2 linked regions of the Anolis sagrei genome follow. The main gene of each other region encodes a partner of the protein of the gene in region 2 in a complex. Links are inferred from orthologs where the notes say so. Each region holds a gene or a part of one and is shown on either strand. Other genes may lie near its edges.

Evidence for each region. Proteins that work in one complex are often made in the same cells at the same time.
Region 1: CNOT6 (region 2) and CNOT9 share a complex: the UniProt entries of both Homo sapiens proteins name them as parts of the CCR4-NOT complex. The link is inferred for Anolis sagrei from reciprocal best matches to the Homo sapiens genes CNOT6 and CNOT9.

What each region holds. Positions count from the first base shown.
Region 1 is NC_090021.1:229,044,012-229,052,045, forward strand, and holds the start of CNOT9 (CCR4-NOT transcription complex subunit 9), read left to right. Parts: upstream 1-2,367; 5' UTR 2,368-2,433; coding exon 2,434-2,457; intron 2,458-6,991; coding exon 6,992-7,171; intron 7,172-7,514; coding exon 7,515-7,630; intron 7,631-8,034. Other genes in the region: USP37 (ubiquitin carboxyl-terminal hydrolase 37), read right to left, coding at 1,957-2,292. UniProt on the Homo sapiens protein: Component of the CCR4-NOT complex which is one of the major cellular mRNA deadenylases and is linked to various cellular processes including bulk mRNA degradation, miRNA-mediated repression, translational repression during translational initiation and general transcription regulation.
Region 2 is NC_090022.1:87,483,725-87,491,758, reverse strand, and holds the start of CNOT6 (CCR4-NOT transcription complex subunit 6), read left to right. Parts: upstream 1-3,658; 5' UTR 3,659-3,758; intron 3,759-4,516; exon of another isoform or gene 4,517-4,634; intron 4,635-8,034. UniProt on the Homo sapiens protein: Poly(A) nuclease with 3'-5' RNase activity.

The sequences.
Region 1 (8,034 bases), on a different chromosome or scaffold from region 2:
AGCCAATGAAACATAAATTGAACAGATGGAGCCTCCACAGGTTAACCCACAAAGAAGTTTCACTTGCCTCATTTCTACATTTCAGTTTTCTGGATAGGAAACACTCACTTTTACAGAAACATGGCTGTGAGTGGATCTAGGAGTCAAAGCAAGGGAGAAGCTCACCCCACTCATCTCGGCAAAGCTTTACATGCCTGGCTAGGACTAAAGGGATGAAAGAAAGGCCAACAAGTGGGTGACTCCTAGACACTCTCTTGTCTCTCTGGTGGATCAGAGACAAAAACAAACAATGGGAGATAAGCAGGAAGGAAAGGAAGCGGAAATCAAGGGGTGCATCTACACTGTAGAATTCATACAGTTTGACACCACTTTAATTGCCATGGATCGATGCTATATTATCATGGAATTTGCTGAGGCACCAGCACTCTTGGCAGAGAAGGCTAAAGACCTTGTAAAAGGTAGGTAAAATGGTCTCAAACAACATTGATTCGGCAGTGTGGATGTAACCAAGGTCTGGACCAACAGCCCTGGAAACCTGAGCAGTGAGAAAGAGCATGGCTCAGGCTGAGGGCATGGGATGAAGAATGCCACAAACCAGGCCGAAGTTACCATGGAATAGAGGAGCAAAGGAAAGAAAGAAGAGGTGCACCTATACCAGGTATGGGCAAACTTGGGCCCTCTGGGTGTTTTGGACTTCAACTCCCATAATTCCTGGGAGTTGAAGTCCAAAACAGCCTGAGGGGCCAAATTTGCCCAAAGCTGACTTATACTGTAGAACAAATGCACTTTTGCACCACTTTAACCACCTTGGCTCAGGGCTATAATATTGAGGGGATATGATTTTTGGAAAGTCTTTAGACTTCTCTGCCAAAGAGGCTGCATGCCTCAGCAAACTAGAACTCCAAAATCCCACAGCATTGAGCCACTACTTATTTATTTATCATATTTGTATACCGCCCTTCTCAGTCCGAAGGCGACTCAGGGCGGTTCGTAGTTGGCAACATTTGATGCCTCAACAAATAAACAATCATAAAATACTGTTAAAAACATTCATATAAAATATAAAGTATAAAAACCATAGAAAGCCATAAAAACATTATCATGAGCATCTCCTTGTTAAAATTGTTATTTAGTTACTTCGTCAGGTCATTCCATGATTTTATATAATTACGCTGGATTAGCAAAAGCCTCCTCAAAAAGCCAGGTTTTAACCTTTCTTCGGAAAGTCAGGAGGGAGGGGGCCACTCTTATATCCCTGGGAAGGGTGTTCTGCAGTCGAGGGGCCACCACTGAGAAGGCCATGTCTCTTGTCCCTGCCAAATGCATCTGTGAGGGAGGCGGGGCCGAGAGCAGGGCCTCCCCAGATGATCTTAGTGACCTAGAAGGGTCATAAGGAGTTAGGTAAGCTGGTCCGGAACTGTTTAGGGCTTTATGGGCTAAATCCAGCATTTAAAGTGGTATCAAACTGCAGTAATTCAACAATATAGATCAGGCATGGGCAAAAGTCGTCCCTCCAGGTGTTTTGGACTTGGAACTCCCACAATTCCTAACAGCAGGTCAAAGTTTGCCCATGTATGGTATAGAAGATGGGCCCCAAGCGTGGAGCAATCACACTGGAAGGCAAGGCATGTCTGGGGCCGAAGGGAGGAAAGGAACCAGGCTCAGGCTGTTATGGGAGGCGTGAGCGAGGGAAGGAGGGAAGGATGAAGGGAACTTCTTTCCACCGCTTTAAACGCCCTGGCTCAATGCTATGGGATCCTGGGAGTTGTAGTTTGGTGAGGAAGGGGTAAGGAGGGAAGGGAGAGAGGGCGGGAGGAGAGGGCCCGGTGCCACCGAGCAGGCCTGCCCCTTCGCCCTCCCCGGCACTGAGGAGGCAAGAGTTCCCTCAGAGGGTGCGCCACGCTCCAGACAAGCCCACCACCACAGAGGATGATGGCGGCGGCGGCTTTCCTTCACCTTCTCCGCGAACCCGTCCGGGCTTGGCTCCGTCTCCAGGCCGCCTCTTCCTCCTCCTCCTCCCTGCCTCCGTTCGCGGACACCAGGCCCGCCTCGATCCCAGCCGGCCTGGCTTGCCTTCACGAAAAGGGCAGATGGCGGGAACCAGATCGGCCGCGCCACCGTCCTCCTGACGCCAGCACGCAACGTAAACACGCACGAGAGGGGGGCGGGACCGCGGACAGGACTGGATAGGGAGGCCCCTACGTCATCACGCCGACGGCCTGGAAATCGACTCCTGCCATTCCTGCGCATGCGCACTGTTTCCCTCTGTGGTTTCGAGTTCTGGCGACGCATGCGCCTTCTCGCTCTCCTCGGGCCCAACGCTTATGCCCGCCGAGAGGTCAGAGGTCGCGGCAGTGGCGACGGCGGCAGATCCATCATGGCGGCGCCTGAGGTAGAAGCGGCTTCCTGAGCTCCCGCGAAGGACTCCCGACCATGCACAGCTTGGCCACGACCGCGGTAAGGCCGGGCCGGGTTCGCGGGGCATGGTTTTCCTCGGCAGGGCGGTCAGGAAGCCCGCTGAGGGGCTGAGAAAGGTCTGGTTTCATTGGCCGGCGGAATGAGGGGAGGGGGCGGCAGAGGCTTGTTTTCCCGCCAAATTGCTCTCCTTCAGAAACGACGGGTCCTCCTTAGTTACTCGTGCAGCTCCCTTCCGCTTCCCTGAGAGAGGACCTTCGGCCCAAAGCGGCAGCAGCAGCAGCATGGCGGCAAAGAAGGCGCCTGCAAGGAGGCGGGGCCGGGAGCCTGTTTCCCCCCCCCCCCCCCCCCCCAATGCGCGGATTCATCGTTTATGGTGGCTGATGCGTAAAAAATGGCCCCGGAGTTGAACATAGAAGCATGAAAGTGGTAGTTTTACGAGGTCTCCAGCCTTCTCTGCCAAAGAGTGCTGCTGCCTCACCAAACTACAGCTCCCAGGATTCCTTAGTATGGAGGCAAGACAGTTCCAGGGGCATTCATTCTACAGTGTGGATTCGATTTATTTATTTACTATCATTATATTTCTACTCTGCTCTATCATACCCCGAAGTGGACTCGGCATACAGTTTTGGCAATTTCATTGCCACATTGCACAGATATATATATATATATATATATATATACACATATAACATCACATTAAGCATAAGATCATACATACACACACACAATTAAATGTATTCTCGAAGGCATTCATGACCAGTTAAAGCATGCGATGCAGTGTATTCTAGCATTCCAGAATAATATTTTCCCTAGCATGTGGCATTGGAATCCTGTTCCTAAGTGAGAGCAAATGCTGCAGAATGGAAGGAGGCTTATTTGAGCTTGTAAAGACCTTAAATCAGCAGCGCTCTAGCCAGAGGGGAGGGTTAGGGGTTAACACCCCCTCCCAAAATTTCAGGTTAAAAAAAGATGAATTTTAACTGGTTAACCAAATTCCCATGCTAAGTCTATGAGAAGCAAAAACTAAATGAGTGCCTCCAGAATTTCAAGCACTACTTCAAGCAAATTTTGACAATTTGTTTACACTCATAACTTGCAGCAGTAGCCACGATGGCTCACCCATAACTGGCAGGCAAAGCCTAATGTATTGAGTGCGGGTTGGATTTGAAGGCCCTCATGAAGGAGACCATACTTGGTGGGGACGGTTGACAGGGGCGGAGCTGCAGGCTATTGCTGTGTTCTTTGCTTCGGCATGAGGTAGGAGGCAGGTTCCTAATGGGGAATTAGGCCTTTCACTCGTTGCTTCCACCCTCCCCTTTTCCAGTTAGTAGGTTCCCATTGCTGCGCCTATATAGAGCTCGTTTTCAACTCTTAAACGTTTGAAAACATACATAAGAAAAACAGTGAGGCAAGAAAGACTGACTGGACTTGTACTCTTGAGTGTCCACTAAAGTTTATCAATGGAGCCTGCTTTCTATCAAAGTATATTGACATAGCTTTCAAGTGTTTCCAACAGACGCTATGATATTCTTTTGTAGCTATAAATTACCAATTAATAGTCATTTTCAGTTATTTTAAGACTTGAAACTCTGTAACTAAAATAGAAAACTGATTTAATTAAGTTTATATAAAATATAGAATGAACCATACTATTTAAATTATTTTGTGTTATGGAACTACTCTTCATGATTCGCTTAAAAAGGTTTCAACACCCACCCACCACCCACCCCCAATTTTCTGGCTATGGCCCTGTATATCATTCATGGGCAAACTCAAGCCCTCCGGACATTTTGGTTTCAACTCGCACAATTCCTAACAGCCTGTGGGAGTTGAAGTCCAAAACACCTGGAACGCTGAAGTCTGCTCATGCCCGAAAGAGTTAATTTAGTTTGACACCACTTTAACTGCTATATTTCAATCCTATGGAACTCTGGGAGTTATAGCTTTACAAGGTCTTTTATCCTCCTCTGTCAAAGAGTACTGGTGCCGCCCCAGTATAATTCTACAGTATAAATGTGCCCTAAAGCAAATTCTAAAGCATCAGTAGCATCACTCATAAGTTTTAAATTCTTTAGAAATAACCAGAGATGGAAATGATGCTTTAAAAAATATGGTAGTAGTGGTAAGAAAAGACAGCCAGAGATGCAGGAACCTTGTTCTCAAAGGTTACAGTTGGAAGTTCCCTCTCCAAAAACCAGAATTAAGGAGTCCACCTTAAGTCAGCTTTCCTTTACTATTTTGTATTTACTTCACTTTATTGCCATATTATACTCTCCCCCCCATCCTGTTGGATACTTCACATTGCATTTGTTTCTCCTTGTTGATTTGTGTTAGGTTCTAACAGGTTTTCTATCCTTACTTTTAGAAATTACCGTGTTTCAAATTTAGTGATTTTTAATATCTGTTGTTCAAGACATCATAAGACTTAAGAAATAAAACCAGAGAGATTCCTTTGCAGTTCAACTGTATTTGTAAGAAAGAAAAAGAAATAAATTCAGTTTGATTTATTTTCTGAATCAGCTCAATATCTGTATAGGTTGACTGGAGATATGAACTTAGAAAAACTTGTAAAAATGTGGGGGGACAATTTTTCAGGGAGCAGAATGAAACAAATATAAAACATTTTCGTATAGATCTATAAATATTCAAGACAACATGTTCATATATCTAATTTCTAAAAAATGTACATCCAGTAGACTTAGTTAAGAATATTTACAATAGTGCACTTTAGAGTGCAGTTCTAGAGACAGGTGTTAGTACACTAGCCATTGGCTATAAACCTGCAGTTAATTTCCAGGAAAGAAATACTTATAACTAATGGGCATAAATAGCATGCTGGTTGTTAGCCATTAGAAATAGAAACCTGGCTCTGCCACATTACATTAGCCTGAGAAGTATTGAAGTATAGTATCAAAAGATACTACTGTAAAAGTAGTGGTACGACACCATCTGTAAAAAGCCTTCCCAGGACCCTCTGGATTTTAACAACTATAGACCAGTATTGAATTTTCCTTCTTTGGGCAGGTGATTGACAGGGCTACTAACTTCAGATAGTCTTGGCTGACATTTCAAGCATTGGCATGGGGAGTGTATCCCTGTTGATGGTTTTGTTTGTTTTATGGACCTCTTAGTGGCATTCGATACCATCAACCATTATATCCTTTGGGAATGCCTGAGGGCTTTAGGAACAGAGGCACTGTGCTTCAGTGGTTTCAGTCTTGCCTCGTCATGCCTCTCACATAGGTTCCAGATGGTGGTGCTTGGGCACAGCTGATATTCGGGAAAGAAGCTCTTAAGTGGCACCCCACAAGGTGCCATTCGATCCCCAAAGCTGTAACGTACAAATAAAGCCACTAATAGAAATCATCAGAGACATAGGGCAGGGTTCTCTCTGTGTATTTATGGCACTTCTTTAAGCCTTCAAAAATAGCATTAATTAATCTTCTGAATGAATACCTTGAGGGGGCAGTGGGCTGTATGAGGGTTGGAGGGGAAGCAAGGCATCTCTTAACCAAGACATTTTCATCAGTGCCCCCAAATTGTAGAATGGCATGGTTTTTATTTTTGCTACTCATAAGAAATAAAACCAGGGAGATTCCTTTGCAGTTCAACTGTATTTGTAAGAAAGAAAAAGAAATAAATTCAGTTTGATTTATTTTCTGAATCAGCTCAATATCTGCTTTGAAAATAAAACTAAGAATGGATTTTATGTGAAAAAGGCAGTGAACTCATTTCCCTACTGGAAGTATTATTGATCTGTAGTAGTTCAACTGGAGGTTTATCTTGGAAAGTAGGTCACTGAAGTGCATGCAGGTAGGTGGCTCCATGTCTGAGTCACCAGGGTTTGTCTGCCTCAACCCTCAAATGCTCTTCCATCTAGCAGTGATTTGTGAACCTCACAACTTCGTTAGAAACAAAAAATAAAACGTGACCTTTTGTTGTCGGCTGGTCATTATTAACAAAGGTTCTGTTAATGTTTAAGTGAAGCAACTAAAAGTTCTTGAACTGGATCTCTCTTGCGGTCTTTTCCAACTCTGTGATTCTAAGCAAAGGTTTTCTTGAATTGGATGTCCCGAGTCTCTGAGGTGCCTAAGGTATTGAAGTAAGAGGATGTACAAAACTCGGACAAAGTGACTTTTGATCTTGGCCCAGGAGGGCCCTGAAAGCATCCCAGGATAAGCATATATCACATTGTCATGTGAAATGAGAATCTCAAGGCCACGAGGGGACTTACTTCCCATATGTATACACTAGAACTGCACAAGCAGAATTTTCATTTGGCAACTGAATTAATTCCCTTCCAGAAGTCTATGTTAATCTGCTTTCATCTTCTCTCTGTTTCAAGGATACAATCCTGTGCATACTGATGTTAAAGTTAGCTTCATTAAAGTAATTGAGAATTAAATCTCATCCATATTTACTTGGAATTGTTTGCTTCTTGCTCATCTCATTTTTTGTTTTTGTTTTTTGTTTGTTTGTTTTGGTTAAGTCCTTTTAATTATTTGTCATTGTGATTCGACGGGAAGAAGAAGAAAAAGAGACCCTTGCTTATATCATTTCTGTCTCTTTATAGCCTGTGCCAACGGCACTTGCTCAGGTTGATCGAGAGAAAATATATCAATGGATCAATGAGCTGTCTAGCCCTGAAACCCGTGAAAATGCACTGCTGGAGCTGAGCAAAAAGCGAGAGTCTGTCCCTGATCTTGCCCCAATGCTATGGCACTCCTTTGGAACAATAGCCGCTCTCTTACAGGTAGGTGGGACATCTCTTTTCTAGAAATAACCAGAATTATTTCCTTAGTCTAGAATATCCACATGTAAAACTGGAGCCTTAAGGACTTGGGAAGTATTAACAATAAGCATGGGCTAACCCAATTGGGTGCGACTTGCAAGGCATCTCTATATTTTGGTTCCTCTACTAAATTCTTTTAACTTTGTGACAGTCCCTGTGTAGTTAATACATGGAGAGAAATTCTGAGAGTGAATTACTTAGTATAAGTAATTAGCAGGAATATTTGGCAACTCTTTCAAGCATTGGAATGCTTAAGTATGGTAACGTTTTTGTACAAATATGTTTTGCTTCCTCTTTTCTGTAGGAAATCGTAAATATTTACCCATCTATAAATCCACCAACTTTGACAGCTCACCAATCCAACAGAGTCTGCAATGCTTTGGCACTTCTGCAGTGTGTTGCATCGCATCCAGAAACCAGGTTTGTGTTCTCTGTGCACAGTATTGGGTTTTGGGTAAAGAATGATGTATGCTTCTAGTGATGCTTGTGTTCATAATGGACAAAAGATTAGACCAGTGAATGTCTTTCTTGCAGTTATTTAAATCTTACTGCCAGTACAGATAGCATCAGAACTAGATTTTAAATAGCACTATAGAGGGAGGATATTTATCTTTCCTTTGTTTGTTCTATTTTCCTGCCTTTTTTGTATTTATTTATTGCACATGCACCACTCTTCAGCCCAAAGATACCCAGACCATTTTACAAGGGAATCATAGAGTTGGAAGGAAAAGTCTAGGTTTTTGTGCCAGTCTTCTGCCCTGCAGGATCACACAACTAAAAACACATTCAGCAAACAGTGTAATAGTTGTCACAAAACCTATGGT
Region 2 (8,034 bases):
GAATATGATTGGGAGTAGGTTACATACCAGGGACCTGAGCCATAACAGCCAAGCCATCCCTTAATAGCAGTACAGTAACCTGACACCTGTCTTATAATAAACTATGTATATACATACAATCAACTTTGCCTTATAAACTGCATTTTAGTGTCCAAAATGATTTATCTGTGATTGTCCAAATATCCAGCATTAAAATATCCTAATCAGAATTAAATGTGGTGAACAGGACTTAAACACCCAGTTCCCAATAAGTGAGCCTTTTTAACCTGACAGCTCTGCCACCCACTAACCTATATTTCTAGTGATCTTTCTCAGCACAGCCCACACCCTGTATTTTTAATAGAAACGACTTCCACACAAGTATAATCCTCAATATCAAGCCCTTGAATAGGCAGGCCTATTCATTTCCCCTCAAATCGTATTCAAGTCAATCCTTTCCTTCAGTCTCTACCTTTAAATTGCATAAAGACTCACCTAGCAAGGTTTTCAGTCTGTTTTTGACCTATTTACTCAGATTCAAATCCTAATGAGTTCAAAGTGATTTAATCCTTAATGCGGAGGTTAGCAAATGACAACATAGGTACGACATATAACACACAAGGCCACCTTTTCTTCTTCAGCTGGGGAGTGCCACTAGGGCTAAGTTTTTCAAGGACTGCAGTCTCAGCTTAACCATTTCATACAGCATTATCCTACCCTTGTCGATTTATGTATCATATCAATAGAGCTGTTCTATTTAAATGAAACTGCCCAATGTCTGACAGAATTATTTAACACTAATGCATTGCCATCAATTTTCAACAGGCAACCTCAAAGAGAGGCTAAATTATTTTTTAATTCCAAAAAGCAAACCTTGATTTTACCATTTTATATAAGGGACATTGTTTTACTAAGTATATTATGAGGCTTCCATATCCAGATTTTGGTATACATGGAGGTTCTGAAATAAAACCCCAGAGATAGTAAGAGCCCACTGCAATTGTCAGATCTCCATGGCTTGCTAATCACTCCTTTTTTTTCTCCAACCCTTCCCAGGAACCACCCACACCTTCCAAGAGTAGACCTCTGTATCCTATCCACACTTGCATGGAAGTAAATCCATTGGTCCTGGAGGAGCCTACTGCCAGTTTCACCACTACCTGATCATACACACATCTACTCTGAAGCAATTCCCACTGATTCTTCTCCCACTCCAGGTGCATTAATTTATAAGTCACAGCCTGGGCCTTTAGGCAGAATAAAGATGCACCTGCAGTGTAAAATTAATGCAGTTTGACACCATTTTAACCGCCATAGGTGTTTTTTTGTGTGTGTGGGGAGTGACTTGAGAAACTGCAAGTAGCTTCTGGTGTGAGAACTGGCCATCTGCAAGGCTGTTGCCCAGGGGACACCCGGATGTTTTACCATCCAATGGGAGGCTTCTCTCATGTCCCCGCATGAGAAGCTGAAGCTGACAAGGGTTTAACCCACGGTGCCACCGGGGGCTCCATAGGTGAATACTATGCCATAGGTGAAGGCTATAGAATCATGGGAGATTTAGTTTTACAAGTGCTTTGGCCTTTTCTGCCAAAGAATCTGGGGCTTCACCAAACAACAGCTCCCTGGATTCCATAGCATCATCCATGACAGTTAAAGCAGTGTCAAACTGCATTATTTCCATAATATCGAATAGATGCATTCCAAAAGATGCTTGTAACCTCCCCCCTACTCCACCCACCCAACAAATCAGGAGGCACAACCCTGTCAGTCTGGAAAATGAGTCTGCAAAGGGCTCTTGTAGTACCTTTAAGACTAAGGCTGGATCTACACTACAATATAATCCACATTGTCTGCTTTGAACTGGATTATATAGGGGTCCTTCCATCCTGCCCCTTTATCCCAGGATCTGATCCCAGATTATCTGATTATCTCAGGATACCTGGCAGCGGGGACTCGTATATTCCAGTTTAAAGCAGATAATCTGAGATCAGATCCGGGGATAAGGGCAGTGTGAAAGGGCCATAAATCTTCACTGCCATGTAATCCAGTTCAAATCAGATAATTATCTCCACTTTAAAAGCAAATGTTTCAAATCCTCTCGCATCAGACAGTAGGGTAAAGTTTCCTATTGTTGTCTTACTGCACTGCCCCAAAGGCCTGGTCCCACAGCCAAGTTTTTACCATCTTTCTGAAGGACAGGAGGGAGGGGGCTGATCTAATCTCACCAGGGAGAGATTTTCATAGCCGAGGGGCAATCACTGAGAAGGCCCTCTCTCTCTCTTGTCCCCACCAATCTCAACAGTGACAGGACCCAGAGCAGGCCCTCCCTGGAAGATCTTAGTCTCCGGATGGTTCACAGAGGGAGAAAATCCCACAATATCTGCTTTGAACTGGGTTATCTGAATCCACACTGCCATAAATTCCAGTTTAAAGCAGAAAATGTGGGATTTTATACAGCTGCGTGGCATTGGTCTCAGATAACCCAGTTCAAAGGAGATAGATACTGTGAGATTTTTGCCTTGATATTCTGGGTTATAGGGCTGTGTGGAAGGTCCCTTATTCTCTATACCAGGCATGGACAAACTTGGGCCTTTTTCCAGGTGTTTTGGACTCCCAGCTTCCACAATCCCTAACAGTGGCTGTTAGGAATTATGGGTGAAGTCCAAAACACCTGGAAAAAGGCCCAAGTTTGCCCATGCCTGGCTGTTAGTGATTGTGGAAATGGGAGTCCAAAAGACCTGGTGGGAGGGCCCAAATTTGCTCAGGCCTGTGCCACACTGTAGAATGGCGCCACTTTCACCAAAATGACTCAGTGCTACGGACTTTTGGACTTCCAATTCTCACAATCCCTAACAGTCTATGGAATTATGGGAGTTGAAGTCCAAAACACCTGGAAAAAGGCCCAAGTTTGCCCATGCCTGGCTGTTAGTGATTGTGGAAATTGGGAGTCCAAAAGACCTGGCGGGAGGGGCCCAAGTTTGCTCAGGCCTGTGCCACACTGTAGAATGGCGTCACTTTCACCGAAATGACTCAATGCTATGGAGAACGGAGAGTTGCAGTTTGACAAACACTGCCGGTGCCTCACCGAACTGCAACTCCAGAGCATTGAGCCACGGGCCAGGCGGCATCCATGCCCCTTTTACCAGAGGTCATACTTACTTACCTACTTTACTTAGGCAATCCCTCGTTGGACAAGTAGGATAGTCTTCCAGGATCAATATTCTTGTGACTGTGGAGCCCTATTCTTGACCTGTACCTTCTCCCTCAGTGAGGGCATTGGTTTCCAGGTGGAAGGCAGTCTTGGTCGGGGTTGGCTTGATGCATCCTCCTCTTGGAACGTTTCTGTCTTTCACCCTCCATTTGTGCCTCTTTAAATTCTGCAGCACTGCTGGTCACAGCTGACCTCCAGCTGGAGCGCTCAAGGGCCAGGGCTTCCCAGCTCTCAGTGTCTATGCCAGAATTTTTAAGGTTGGCTTTGTGGCCGAAGCCTACCGGACTCACCACGCGTGGCCTTTCCTCCGGACCTCCCAGCGACCCCAAACGCCGCCATCTTCAGGCCCAACCGCTTCCTTCGGCGGAGGACCCTGAAGCCTGCCTGCCTGCCTGCCTACCGCCGCCATGATGCTTATTTGCTTCCCATGAGCGGGAGGCGGAGGAAGAAGAGGAGGCGGAGGCGGCGGCAGCAGCGGTGGGGGGAGCCTGTTCTCCCGTCCGGCCCGCGGCAGGAAACAAAGAGCCAGGCAGGCAGCGGAGACGAGACGGGGATGCGGCAGCCACAGGTACGGAGCGAGGAGGACGAGAAGGGGGCGGATGGAGGGAGCAGGAACTAGGGGAGATGAGAAAAAGCTCTCTCCTCTCTGAGGGACGGTTGGTCGGAGGACGAGGAGGAGGACGGGGGCGCCTCTGAGGAGGCCCTGAGGGAGATGAAGCGCCCCTGAGGGGGAAACGAGAGCGTGGGCGTCACCTCCTTCTCAGGGAAGGAAGAAAGGAGAACCTAAACCAGTCAGGCGGCAAGATGGAGAAGCCTGAGCCAGGCCTCAGGGTGGCTTGGTTGCTTTCTTGGCACAAAAGGCCCGCTTCTGTTAGGGTGAAGGCCATTGGGCCTACGAAGAGGAGCTCACACACACATATATATCAGGGCCTGGGCGAACTTGGGCCTTCCTGCAGGTGTTTTGGACTACAACTCCCACAATTCCTCACGGCCTCAGGCCCTTTCCTTTGCCCCCTCAGCCGCTTAAGCCGCTTAAGCGGCTGAGGGGGCAAAGGAAAGGGCCTGAGGCCGTGAGGAATTGTGGGAGTTGTAGTCCAAAACACCTGGAGGGAAGGCCCAAGTTCGCCCAGGCCCTGATAGGCGTTTGTTGTTGTTGTTGTGTTGTGGTAGTGGCGCGTGGGCCTAGCTGCGGCTGAGCCTTCCTGGAAGCCGCGGCGAGGCTCCGAAGGAAGTGACGTCCTCGGTCCTAAGTGCTTGTTGACAAGAGCCGGGCTTGAGGGGGGCGGGAGAGGGGGCGAGGAGGCGGAAGGCAGGCAGGCAAGAGCAAGGCAGGCAGGCAGGCCGGCTCGGATCCCTGCCCTGGGAGCCTGCGGACCCACCCGCCCTGGAGCCCAGAGCCTCTCCTTTCCCCCGAAGCCCCTCCGAAGGAAGCCCGAGGTCTCAGGTATCGCCTCATCTGGAAAAGAAAGGAAACTTGCGCCAGGCAGCTGCTTCTCTTTTCCCTTCCTTTCCCTCCCATTCCCTCCCTCCTCCCCCATTGCCTCGATTTCAGTAAGCTTTGTTGTCATTGCTCTGCACAAAAGCCCTTGCTCCCTTCCTTCCTTCCTTGCTTGCTTCCTCCGTGGGAAAACAAAAAACCTGTATTTCGTGATGGGAGTCAAGCTTAGCCTAGGCTGCTGCTGCTGCTCGCAGGCCCAGCCACAATAGGCAGCCTGTGTCTGAAATAGAAAGGCAAGAGCGTTAGCTGAGGGGGTGATTGGCAGCCCTGCTGGCCAATGGAAAAGGAGATAGGGGGCAGGGATGTATGCCGTGCAGGTAGGTGGCTGGGCCACAGAGGCTGGGGGACACGCACAGATAGGGGTAAACAGGAGGATTAGGAGGCAGAGCTCTGCGGGCTAGGTACAAAAGCAAGTCTGTTCGGTATGTTTTTGCATAAAGGATAGCATTAAGCTGCTAAAGCTTTGCTAGCCATTCAGAATAAAGGGGAGACTTTATAGCATATATATTGTAAGTATATGCTTACAATATGCTTATAGGGGGTTGGACTGGATGGCCCATGAGGTCTCTTCCAACTCTTTGATTCTATGATTCTAAGTTTCAAGGTTCTCAAAAAATTCTTAATCAGCTATGTTTATTGAAGTTATGTGTGTGTTTTAATGTGAGTTATCAATAAAAGGTATTCTTTATTATATTTATACCCTGCTTTATCTCCCCAGAAGGGGACTCAAAGCAGCTTAGCATAATAATAATAATATATATAAATAAAAATGTAATCAGGCACATCAAATCACTCTCAACAAAAGATTCCAAGGGAACTCAAAGCAGCTTAGCATAATAATAATATATATAAATAAAAATGTAATCAGGCACATCAAATCACTCTCAACAAAAGATTCCTCCCAGACACTTCCAAGCCATTAAATGCTAATCAAGGTGGTCAGTTGAAACATTCACACCTAGTTCCAGCAGACAAAAGTTCTTTGTCTCACCCTGGTCATTCCACAGATATATAAACCCATTTTCCTACTTCCAACAGACCTCACTACCTCTGAGGATGCTTGCCATAGATGCAGGCGAAACGTCAGGAGAAAATGCCTCTAGAACATGGCCATATAGCCTGGAAAAACCTACAACAACCCAATGTAATGTTAGTTTGTGGGATTAACATAACTCAAAAACCACTGGGCGAATTGACACCAAATTTGGATGCAAGTCACCTATCAGGACAACAAGTGAGCATCACATATAAAACACTGAAAAACGCAGCAGAAGAGACTTAAAAAGCCAAAAAAACAAAACAAAAATACATTACAACGCACGCATAAAACCACACATATATATGCAAACATACATATGCACAAACATACACACACACATACACACAAAACACATATAGACAGACTGGGTCACGGCAACGCGTAGCAGGGGACAGCTAATAATAATAATAATCCGGCATATAGCTCTTGTTTGCTGTGACACACTGTGATTTTGTGTCAGTAAAATATAATAATAATAATTGACAATAAACATTGACAAAATCGCAATCTCTCAACTGCAAAAGGCCACCTTACTTGGATCTGCGCGCATCATTTGAAAATACATCACAAAGTCCTAGACGCTTAGGAAGCATTCAACTTGTGATTTGTGATACGAAATCCAGCATATAGATTTCATTTGCTGTGACATACTGTGTTATTGTGTCAGTAAAATAATAATAATAATAATGCACACATTATTCGCCAATACATCACACAGTCCTAGACACTTGGGAAGTGTCTGACGTGTGATCAAATACAAAAGCCAGCATACTGATCTTGTGCTGTGTACTTATCTTGTTATGTATTAAATAATAATAAAATGAGGATTTAAATATCGAACTGCAAAGACTCTGGCCCAAGCCAGTAAAGGAGGTCCCAGTGGTGATCGGCACACTGGGTGCAGTGCGTAAAGAGCTTGGCCTGCACTTAAAAACAATAGGCGCTGACAAAATTATCATCTGTCAGCTGCAAAAGGCCACCCTACTTATATCATCATGTATTATTCACTAATATATCACACAGTCCTAGACACTTGGGAAGTGTCCGACGTGTGATCAAATACAAAAGCCAACATTTGCTGTATACTGATCATCTTATGTATCAAATATTAATAACAATATGAGGATTTGAAGATCAAACTGCAAAGACTCTGGCACAAGCCAGTAAAGGTAGTCCCAGTAGTGACCAGCACACTGGGTACAGTGCCTAAAGACGTTGGCCTGGACTTAAAAACCATTGGCGCTGACAAAATCACCATCTGTCATCTGCAAAAGGCCACTCTACTTGGATCAGCACACATTATTCGCCGATACATCACATAGTCCTAGACACTTGGGAAGTGTCCAACGTGTGATCCAGTAGAACAGCCAGCACAGTGATCCTGTTTGTTGTGTACTAATCTTTTTGTGTATCAAGTAATAATAATAATAACAACAAAAACAACAACTTTATTTGTATCCTGCCCCTCTCAGGGATTCAGGGGGGCTTACAACAAAAATACAATACACATAGTAATAATAGCAATTGAAACAACACAAAAAACATAGAAGCATCAGCACAGCCATTTAGAATATACAAATACATGAATATTAAAACAGGATTAAATATAAATAGTATTTTTAAAATCACAGTTAAAAAACATTAAAACACATTCGAAGTAAAAATTTATTGAAAAATTGGCTATGGGCCATACCATAAAATTAAAAATATTATATGGGAAACGAGTGCTAACAGTGTAGACTTAGAATTATTTTTGACTAACCAATCTTTTGTCCGTTATATCTATTCATAAAAGTGCTTTTTTAAAATATAAAAATTATTTACAATTTTCTTTCTTTTCTTTTCTTTTTTTGACGCAAAACAAGGGAGAAACAGTGGATTCCATTATTTGGAACAAAATGCTGTAATATCTTAGTACTTTCGGGACTTTCAGAATTTTCTAAATAAGATTGTGAAAAGAATATTATTGAGAACTAGACAAAAATAAGGTATTCACCTAATTATGTTTAACAAATTCATCCCAGAGAAAATATTTGAATTGTGTTCCAAACAGTTAAAGGTTTCTGCAGATTTACATGTGTCTTGGGCTATTTTCCTATATGTATTTTATATGTAATAGTAACAGATATAACATTCAAAGGGATTAAAGAATACCTATAGTGATTATTTGGTTCAAATATGAAGGTTTGCATGTATTGACTGCCAATGTTATTGTATCTTGCATTTTTTAATCCGTTAGAAGTTCCCAGAATTATATCACAATTTTTGTTGGGGTAATTTTACTTGTTCTAGGCTCTAGAGGTGCTG